Linked DNA regions of Mus musculus: region 2 is reported to be linked to region 1. Evidence: microRNA targets listed by miRTarBase, many of them from high-throughput screens and not tested one by one. Region 1 holds a microRNA gene; the other region holds the end of a gene's coding sequence.
What was found. The annotated mature microRNA mmu-miR-3100-5p reads UUGGGAACGGGGUGUCUUUGGGA and lies in region 1 at 2,028-2,050, opposite strand. An mRNA with a match to its seed (bases 2 to 7 or 8) in the 3' UTR can be bound and repressed. Matches are read on the target gene's strand: a 7mer-m8 pairs with bases 2 to 8, a 7mer-A1 pairs with bases 2 to 7 and ends in A, and an 8mer does both.

Region 2: miRTarBase lists Limk2 as a target of mmu-miR-3100-5p. Seed matches in the 3' UTR shown: 7mer-m8 at 2,611-2,617.

The regions. Positions count from the first base shown.
Region 1 is chr7:19,083,637-19,088,877 of GRCm38, reverse strand. Mir3100 (microRNA 3100) reads right to left here and starts at 2,050; the gene lies at 1,986-2,050. Dmpk (dystrophia myotonica-protein kinase) reads right to left here and starts at 5,020. Exons shown (of 15, transcript NM_001379257.1): 1 at 4,724-5,020; 2 at 2,801-2,892; 3 at 2,463-2,546; 4 at 2,294-2,389; 5 at 1,837-1,985; 6 at 1,545-1,638; 7 at 1,178-1,384; 8 at 614-877. The coding sequence starts at 4,883.
Region 2 is chr11:3,341,556-3,346,796 of GRCm38, forward strand. Limk2 (LIM motif-containing protein kinase 2) reads right to left here. Exons shown (of 16, transcript NM_010718.4): 15 at 4,680-4,837; 16 at 1,742-4,329. The coding sequence ends at 4,185. It overlaps Pik3ip1 (phosphoinositide-3-kinase interacting protein 1), which reads left to right. Exons shown (of 6, transcript NM_178149.4): 6 at 1-1,416. The coding sequence ends at 172. Among named protein-coding and RNA genes, the nearest start is that of Gm12592, 13 kb to the left of the region's middle.

The DNA of each region.
Region 1 (5,241 bases):
GTTATCCGAGATGGCCCTTCGCCCCTCTATGTTCACGGCATAACTGCCCCCACTAACAAACTCCACCATTTTCTCTTCTATCTTGTTGCTTTCTATTGGGGCTCTGCCCACACCAGACTTCTCTCTGCAGGGCCTAGAGCTTGTTAAAATGCTGAGAGCACTCACCCGAGAAAGGATCTCCTGCATCCTTCTGGGCTCAGCTAGTCTCCTCCTCCAGGAAGCCCTCCAGCACTTTCCAGGCTGGGTCAAGAGCCCAGCCCCCTACAATCAATTTTAGTACTGCCAAGAGTGAGGCCTCACTCACTGTCTTTGGGACTGGTCACCTGTGTGTCCTCATACCTGAGTGGATACATAGCAGTGCTCTAGGATAATAATTTGGGACCCAGGAAGGTCAACACCCCCTTTTTTATTTTTCAAGGGAGGATCTCACTCCTGACTGGCCTAGAAGTCACTATGTAGACCAAGATGGCCTTGATTTACCAGAGAGCCACCTGCCTCTGCCTATGAAGTTCTACGATTAAAGGTATGCACCACCACACCTGGCCAATCACCCCAATTTTATGGAAGAGGCTAGGGAAGTCCCCTCAACGGATCAGGAACTGCAGGTACGTACCCCGCCCCCGCTCACCATGGCAGTGAGCCGGTCCTCCACCACATCGAAATTGCATGTGTCCGTGGCACCCTCGAAGTCTGGTGTAAAGGGGGGTACACTGTCTCGGAGACCCTCCCAATCAAGGCCAAAGAAGAAAGGATGTTTCTGGAAATCACCTGCCCCACCTCGACCTAGCCTTATCTCAGCAGGACACAGCAGCCCACGAATGAGGTCCTGAGCTTCCTCGGGGACAACTGTGTCTGCCAGCGGCAGCGACAAGTGTTCCTATTTAGAAAGAAAAGCAACAGTTAGCCCTGGGCTGCAGAGCTGGCTCTGTCGTTTCAGTGCACTGGCTGCTCTTGCAGAGTGATCAAGGTTCTGTTTCCCAGCACTCAGCATGGCAGCACACAATAGTCTGTGACTCCAGTTCCAGGGGATCCCATGCCCTCTGACCTTCGCACACCTACTCAGTGCACAGATATACATACACAGAAAACACACACATATAAATAAATATCTTTTAAAAAAGACAGTCTGGGAGCACAAGCCACTAAGTCAGCCCCCCTGCATGGTGCTTGTGCTCACCCTGTAGTGCACAATCTTGGCATATGTCTCGGCTGTGGAGTCCGCGTAGAAGGGGGTCTGCCCATAGAACATCTCATAGGCGAACACGCCCAGTGCCCACCAGTCACACTCTGGCCCGTAGCTGCCTGCCCCAGGCCCTCCACCAACGGCCTGCAGAATCTCAGGAGACAGGTAGTCCGGGGTGCCCACAGCCACCAGCGACCTCACCTGTGCCAATCAGACCTGAATGCTTAAAACCTTTCCCTTGACTGTCCAAATATGGTGCGCAGGACATCCCAGACCAAGCTCCCCTCCTGCTCCTCAACCCAGCCCCGCCCCCTAATCCGGTCCTTCACCAATGAGGAGAGTTTCGCCAGGCTCTTCTTACCATTCCATCAGGCTGCAGTTTGAGGCAGGAGCCGAAGTCTGCCAGGCGAATGTGCCCACATCGGTCCAGCAGAATGTTATCTGGTTTGATGTCCCTGTGCATAGAGAGAAGAGGGAAAGTGTGCTTTCTTGAAAACCTTCCCTCTTAGGGCCCGTCAGCTCGATCCACTTCCACCCCACCCAGGATTCTACAATTCTAGACCCCGATTCTGTCCCCAATGGGATCTGACCTTCAGGTACCCTTCCTTCCCACACAAATTCTGCTAACCCTCCAAGGGCCCCGCCACGCCCACCTGTGCACGTAGCCCAGCCGGTGCACGGAGTCTATGGCCATGACAATCTCGGCCAGGTAGAAGCGAGCCATCTCGGCGGGGATCCGCTCCCCAAACTTGCTCAGCAGCGTTAGCAGGTCCCCGCCCACGTAGTATTCCATGACCAGGTACTGGGAGCGGGTGTGTCACAGGGGTTTGGTAGCCCCCAAGACTCCCAAAGACACCCCGTTCCCAAGCACAGAGGACCCCCGCACAGTGAGAGAGCGCCCCATCCAAAGGCCAAACCAGATATCACTCCTGTCTCAAGGAAGGTCTCTCCTATACTTGAGACACAATCCTACCCCCGTCCCCCATCCCCTGTGTGTGTCCCCCCCACCCCCACCCCCCCGATCTACAGCAGCTTCTCCCTTCTCCAGCCTTCTTGACTTGGGGCGATGTAACTGTCACTCTTTCCTAGTCACCTGAACCCGGAGCTTACCAGGTAGTTCTCATCCTGGAAGGCAAAGTGCAGCTGTGTGATCCAGCGCCGGTCCCCTTTCACTAATACATCCCTTTCTTCCCGGAAGCACGACACCTGTGAGGTAGGAGAGAAGCTACAGGAGGTGAGTTGGAGAGATGAGGGCGCTGCCCTAATCCCTGGCCCTCACCTCGCCTCTCTTCAGCATGTCCCACTTATTCATAATCTTCATGGCATACACTTGGCCCGTCTGTTTCATCTTCACCACCGCTACCTAAATACGGAACCGAGATGACAGCAAGAGGTGGCAGGGAAAACCAGCAAGGCTCACCCAGACAGGACTCCACCCTTATCTCCACCCAACCTTAGCCCCGCCCTCACGTGCACACCGCCCACTGACCACAAGCTCCGCCCCCACCCCTCCAGCCTTAAATTCAAGCTCATTCATCAATTTTTAAGGCTCTGCCCCAGCTGTTATGCCCCACCCACATCAAGTAAAGTTCCATTCCCAGGCCACTGAAGACTCACCTCGCTGAACGCCCCACGCCCGATCACCTTCAAAATCTCAAAATCATCCCTCTGCAGTCGGACCTCCTTAAGCCTTGCTGCAATGGGCTCCACTGGGCGGGGGTGGGGGAAGAAGAACCAAGGGTCATCAGAACACTAGCGGTAAGGGTAGTGACTTTATAGCCTCCTTCCTTCTGCCCCTTAAATCGGCTTTAGGATTCTGCTTTCAAAACCTCTGTGATGTTTGTGGGACCCAGAACTGCCTGTTTCCACAGGGTTGCAGGGCAGAAAGGGAGGCAGTGGGAGAAGCTGGCGCATCAGGCCTTTCACTCCCATGTGATGATCAGGGTGCTAAGTCAGGTCACCCGGGGCTCTCACTTAATGTCTCGGGCCACAACCTCGAACTGGAGCTGTGTCAGCACAGCCAGCACGAAGAAGAAGTGGGGGAGGGTCACTGCCCTCCAGCATCCTGGACACTGTTGGAAGGGCTTTCTTGGTTTCCAAAGGGTGAAGGAGAGTCTTCTTATAACCAAAGCTCCAGGGTATAAGGTCCTGTGCTAGGGTGGTTCAGCCAGAGGGGAGAGCAGCTAGGTCTGAGGCTGGCGACTGGGGGTGCGGGGTGGGCAGAGGGAGGTCAGATCTCCCTTAGGGAAGTTCTAAGGCCGGGGAGTAAGGATGGAGGAGGGACGTGTGGGGAAGCGGGGAGATGGGGTCACAGAGAAGAAAGGGGTTTGGGAAAGTGGGCAGCCGGGGAAGATACAGCTAGGGCCAAGGCTGGGGGGTGGGGAGGAGGAGAGAGCCAAGGCGTTGAGCCCTTTTAAGGCAGCGGGAACCCAGGCCCCCTCCCCCGCCCAGGCCTGGCAGGGGAGGGGCCCACAGGATGCTGCTCAGGCCACAAAAGGACTGCTCCTTCCCAGAGGGTCAGACCCCCTGCCCCCACCCCAGTTCTCAGTTTACCCTGCCAGCCCAAACCCCATCCTTCAAAAGAAAGGTTGAGGGAGACACTAAAGACTGGAGAGGAGAAAAAGTCTTTCACAGGCTTAGCAGTCTAACCGATGGCCTCAACCTTTCCATCTGTGAAACGGGGGAGGAGGGGAGAATGCACTAGGGTCACACACATGGGCAGACAGCCAAGAATCAAGACCTGGACCCTTAATAATAGGCACAGAGCAACAAAACAGGTCGTTACTTGTAAGGAAGCTGGGGTAAGCTGGAGCTTTGGCTCAATGTTGGGCAGGAGCAGATAAGGCTCCAAGCTTGTCCACTAGGCCTGAGAAGACCTCTGGGGAAGGGCATTTAAGTCAGCAGAGGAATTAGAGGTCTTGAGCTAGAACCACAAAAGCAGATGAGAAGCCAGGAGGGATGACCAATCTGGCCCACAAAGGCTGGGCGGGATCAGAGTGCTAGGGATGGGCACACTCAGAAGCTGAAGTTGTTCCTTCCTCTTAATTTGGGGAACAGAAAGGGTGCTCGGTGGCGCCTGTCTGCCGGGCTGGTTCTCCCCCAGGGCCTCTGTGAGTCACAGTGCCCTCATAGCTCCTGGACACCTGTCAGGGCAGCTGGGGAGGCAGACGCCAAACACCTGCCTATGGGCCACACCCTGGCAGCTGCCCCACGCTGTCCCTCCCCACACTCTGGGAAACTGGGGAGGGCTATGAAGCCAGTTTGAGGAGCCAAGGGTCCTAAAAGAGAAAGCTGCCAGGTCCTAGTGTGGGTGCTGAGATAGCAGGAGGCTATGCCCACCCCAGCCTGCACTGGCTGAGTCATAGGTGGCCTCACTGACCCTGGTGCCTCACCAGGGGAGCTTGGGGTCAGGTCATGAGCTCTGCTTGGCTCCCTTACAAAAAGCCCTTTCCAGGCCCTCCTGCCCCTCCATAGCCCATTCTTGCCCTGTAGACCCACCTCTGCCTTGCACCCAACCCCAGGCTTCCTATCCATACTCACCCCACTGCAAGAAGTCGGCCACATACTTGTCCTGGGCTAGGTGAGAGGCACCCAGCTCCTGGTGGACGCCCAGGAGAAGGTCGAGCAGGGGCTCCAGTCCCAGGAAGCCTGGGTCCAGCACCAGCTGCTGGAGCTGCCTCAGCCGCACTTCGGCTGACATGTTGGGCAGGCAACACCATGGCCCCTCCCCGGGCCGGAGCTCGGGGTCTTCCCGTCACAGGGCCTGGCTGCCCCTGTCCAGGCCCCAGAACCCTAGCTGCATGTCTGCCCGTCCCTGACTATCCCTTGGGTCTCTCTGGCCAGTTCTATGCTTAAGGCCTCCTCCTCTTTTCTCCACCCCTTGGCCCAGCCCCCCTCCCGCCTCCCAGTTTTTAACCCCTCCTGAGCCAACACCCCAACTCCCTTCTTCCAGGGCCCCTCAAAACTCTTCAGAGCCCAATGTCAGGGGACAGAGTAATACTCCAGGGTTGCCCCCCCCCATTGACTCTACCCACCCATAAAGAGAGCACAGGGAGTTA
Region 2 (5,241 bases), not on the chromosome of region 1:
AGCGTGTGAGAGGGAGATGCAGCGAATCACCTTGCCCCTGTCTGCCTTCACAAACCCCACCTGTGAGACCGTGGATGAAAACACCATCATTGTGCACAGCAACCAGACTCCTGCTGACGTGCAGGAGGGCAGCACCCTCCTCACGGGCCAGGCTGGCACCCCTGGGGCCTGAGCCCCTTCAGTGGGCAGGTGCCCATGTAAACACTGGTACAGGACAGGCCACCCTCCTGCAGTTGGGAGGAGCTACATTTTGTGTTGTGGTTAAAACCTTATCCCATTTTTCTTTTGGGGGGAATGTGACTCCTCATGACACAAGAAGATGCAGGTAGCATTATGGGTGAGGGTGAGGAGGCTGGGTAGGGTCCTATCAACGCTCCTTTTCTATCCCTTGGAGCAGAATTTGCCTGCGGAGAGAGACTGGCACAGTAGCCACAGTGGTGCTGTGGCAAATAAGGGCTTCCACATTGCCTGGGCCAAGGAAAGACTGGGAGCTGGCTAAAGCTCTTCTGTCCTGTATACTGAAGAAGGTGGCCTCAGTCTCTGCTTTTCCATTCGTCATCCAGGAACTTGAGTGGCATATACTGTTATTCCTAGTTAAGGTCAAGCATAAAAAAAACTATATATATATAAATGAAAGAAATATTTAGGATGAAAGTCCCTTCTGACTTCTAAGAACCTGAAATGAATCTGCTTGCTGGCAGCGATGTGCCTTGACAACTGTGGGATAGGCCTGGGCCCGAGGGTCTCTTCCTATCTCGTAAGGAAAGGGAAGAATTGCACTAAACTTTCCACTTAGGTGAAGGACCCGCTTCTGCCTTCAGCCTCATGCAGCAGACCAGAATATCCAGACTGTCTTTTGGGGGCTGGATAGAGGAACCTCTCAATTTTGCGCTGATAAGAAAATAGCCAATTCATGGGAATTACACACTTGAGAGTGTGGTGACCCGCAGCTGAAAGGTGAGCTTGGAGACCAAGCCAGAAGGTTGGTAACATGCTGGGGCTTGCGTTGTAGTCCTGCCGGGCTTGCAGGCCAGTTCCTTCCATAGGGTTAAGATTAACTGGTACAAAACAATCACTGCACCACTGCGAAAGACCTGAAGGAGTTCCAGAAAGGGCAAAGCAGCTTCCCAGTGTCCTCCTGGCCTTGGCAGTGTCCCCAGCCAGGAGCCCTTCCACTCCCAACACTGGGAGCAGGCTTCACCAGGCTGCTCTCATAAGCCATTTGTTGAGGGGGCCTGGATCTCAGGGTTCCCATGGTGGTGGTGACTGTGGGAAGAGAGCAGTACTACTTCCTACTTTCCTATGAAAGTATTTCTCTGTATGTTTTATATACCTCATTCTGACACCTGTGTATGAACTATGGCAATTTGTTTTGCTTTTGACTTATATAAACACAAGACATGGTTTTACCTTGCACCTTTTTTGTGGTGATGAGGATGCTCCCCGGATACCTTTGCCTTCTTGGTCACTTCCCAGCCCCTGGGAGATCGTGATCACTGAGTTGTTAGAATCGGGACGTCAAGGTCACCATGACTATCTTAACGTTGAAGCCCTTCAGTTTCTTTCCAAGGTAGAGCAGGGAAGTTTTAGGATAAACCCTCTCAACAGCCTTTGCTGGGGGTTAGAGACAAAGGGGCAGTTGACAATTCTGTAGCAGCCAAGGGACAGAAAGGTAGGTGGGCTGCCTGGGGCTTGGTGGCTCTTGTAGGTTGTGCCCTGGGTTAGAAGGGCCGGGAAGGTGCAGGACTGGTGTCTAAGTTTTATTAGTTGACCTCAGCAGCAGATTGAGTTGTAGCCCAGCACTGAGAACCTCAGATGAGGTGTTTACTAGGGACTGTATTTTATTCCATTCTTGGTTTCTCTGTGTAATGGCTCAGGCTGGCCTCAGATACACCTGCCTCTGCTGGGACTAAAGGTGTGTGCCACCAACACTGCCAAACATACATTCTCTTAATCTAAAGTCTTCTACCACAGGACGCTTAGGAGACATTATCTTTACGTTTATATACAAAATGACTTCATTTTAGGGCCACAAAGCTATTAGACCTGGCTTTCAGTGCTTTAGCCATAGCTGGCCCAAAATTCACTCGACAGACTTAGGCTGGCCTTGAACTTGGTTCCCCAGCCTCTGTATCTTGCGTGTAGACTTATAAACACACACTTCCACACTTGGCAGAGGCTGTGGGGCTTCTTTTTCTCTTTCTTTGGTGCCCAGGATCTTACCAAACATTGGCATTATTGGGCCAGTGGTCGGTGCAACAGCTTTGGAAGCAGAAGGCCCCTGAGGACTGGGTAAGCAGCTGAGAACCTGATAGCTTTGCGGGTCTAAGATGAGGTCATCGGCTGCTCCTCAGAGGGGCTCCGGTGGATGCATATGATCTCTGAAGGGTTGTTGTCCAGGTGAGGGGATTAAACTTGAGACAGAATTTCCTGGTAAGTTATATGAAAGTGGCCAGCAGACCATGTTTCTTTAAAACACTTTAAAATGGGAATTTATGTACCCAGAGCATGTCTGTGTACCATGTATGTGCAGGAGCCCACAGAGGTGAGATGAGGTAGAGTACCCCTAGAACTGGACGTACAGATGTTAGAGAGCCACCACGTGGGTGCTGGGAACCAAACCCTGGTCAGACCGTGATTATCCATCCTGTCCTCCGTGTTTAAGTCAGGCCCTAAGTCACTTTGGCACTCTCTGTCATCTCTATGTTAACTGCTTAATTTATTTAGTCTGCTTCATGGCCTAGTGCAGGCCCCACTCCCACACTTGCTGGGGACAGTGCAAGCATACTCAGTCAAGGACGCTGAACCATGCCCATCGGGAGTTCAGGATTCCCTCTGCAGCAAGTGTGCAAACTCCACACGCAAGTACAGTCTACACAGCAAGAAAAGTGGCCAAAGACTTCCCATCCCATAATTCATTTCGTCTATGTACAAAATATCTCACATATCACCCCAGAGATAAAAGCTAATAACAGCAACCACTCTTCCTGAATCCCCCCACCAGTACAACCCATCACATGTATTTATAACCAAACCCATTCCCAATTTGTTAAACATGGCGTGAGCTCCCGCTTAGATGACAAACCTTGGTGAGCTACAGAGTCCCTGGACACCTGGCAGCCAGGGGTAGAAAGTGCCCCCATAGTTGCCCATGCCCATGGCCCTCGAGTGTGGCTCAGGAAGCAAGCTGGACCAGCAACAAAAAGAGGTAGAATCTACAAGGCCCAGCTCAGGGTGTTCTTTTCCTATCTCAGTTTGGGGACTCAGCAGCCACCAATGCCTGTCCCACATTGCTGCCTGGCCCAGACATTCTAGAGGATGTGCAGTAGCTGCCACAAGGGTGCAAAGAAATTGATGGGACCCCCTTCTCTCTGCTTAGACCCAAAGTCTGAGGCAAACCAGGCTGGCATCCAGAACCCATGTACTGTTAGGCAACATGCTGAGCTTTTGACTGAGCCCACCAGCCTGGATACAGGGCTTTTAGAGGGCAGGGCCTGTTTGCAGCCCCAGTTTCTTTGGTGTTTTTGTGAGTGACTGCTTGTTGAGACAGGATGCTGAAGTGGAAACTCCCCATGCACTGATGTGGTCCCTGGGCTGTGAGCAGAGACCAGTCCTTTGTTGGATTCTGTAGGTTTTACCACATACTAAGACTCTTTAAAACCTGCTCCAAAGGGCATGGCCTGGGATGGAGGAGAAATCGCTACTGTCATTTCACATGCTTTGAAGGTTCCCCGTTTCTGTAACTCATACTACCGCTTCAAGTCCTGCACCTTGCTGAGCCAGACTCCAGAGCCCTCAGGCCAGTTCACTCCGTCATCTTGCCCAGCAGGCCCAGATCATGTTGATTAGTGTAAAGCTACAGCCTCCCAGAATCTCAATCCACAGAGGTCCCAAGTAGTCCCGAGTAACAGACTCTTGGTCTATAATCCAGGCTCTTTTATCCTCTTCACAGCTTTCAGGTGAGTGTTGGATTTACAGATAGAAACTAGGCCCCCAAAACTTGCGGAGAATTTTTTTCCCTGCACCCAAGTGCCTCCTGGGGAGGTAGTAGGGATGGCTTGTTGTGCCTCTAAGCAAGCCTTCAATCCACAGGAAACCTAGGCAGTCCTGCTCACAGCAAGGACAGCGTGCAGAGGGGGCAATGCTGGCTGTGGAATGTCCCCCTGCAGGGGGAGGGACCAGGGCTAGGGTGGCGAGTCCCGGGTTAGGCCATACTCCATGCTCACAGTGTGGTCCAGGTCTTCCAGCTCTGCTGGCAGTGGGATGGCCAGCTCCCCCAAGAACAGGGAGAGCGCCTCGAACGAGTCCTCCAGCTTTGAGAATGCCGGTCTGCAGAGAGAAGGGACACACAGACGTGAGCATCCAGAGCTGAGAACTGAACCCATGGCCCCATTCATTCCACACATTCTATTGTGGATCCACACACCGTGCCCAGATTTTCTTTAAAAACAAAACAAAACCAAACCCCACTGCTCTTCTATCTTGTCCAGCCCCCTTGCTTCTGAGCTGCCCCTGTTCCCTAATGTGGCTGTCGGAGATGTCAGGGGCTTGAGTGGTTTAGCAGTTTACTCTGGCGCTCAAGGATTCAACTGCTCATCCAGGGAAGGGCAGGGGTTGATCTAAAGCAAGCGTCTCGGGCCAGAGTGCTGTAAGGTGGGAGGAAGAGGTGAGACACCAACCTGCTTTCAGGCTCTAGTTTGCAGCAGATAGCAGCCAGGGGGAAGAAGGCTGGGGGACAGTCTGTTGGGACAAACTTCTCCCAGAAAAGCTTAACATTGAGGCCAAAGTCCAGTGTGCGGGGCAGGCAATCAGGATCCGCATATACCTGCCCAATGATCTGCAGGCAAAAAGAGGGATGGTCAGGAAGGACTACAGAGGCCAGAGACAGGAGGGAGGGTTGCTCTTATAGACAGATACGCAGGGCAGCAAAACCTCAAGTTAGAGGGGCAGCCCTGTGCCCCACCTCCCTTCCCATGCTAATCTAGACCCCTCTCTAGAGTCCGGATACTGAGGAGGGCTCAGAAGAGGCCTCCCTGCAGCAGAAGCAATGCTGGTAACTGGTACCTGAAAACTAGAAGCTTCCACTTACCCTACCCTGCCCATATCCCGTTACAGCTATGTCCTCTACCGGGTCAAGGTTCCGGGTCAAGGCTCTACAAGGGGAGGGACTGGGTTTGACTGATGTCTGAAACCCTTTGGCTGCCATCACCTTAATTTTCTATAGGTGACAGATATTCTATT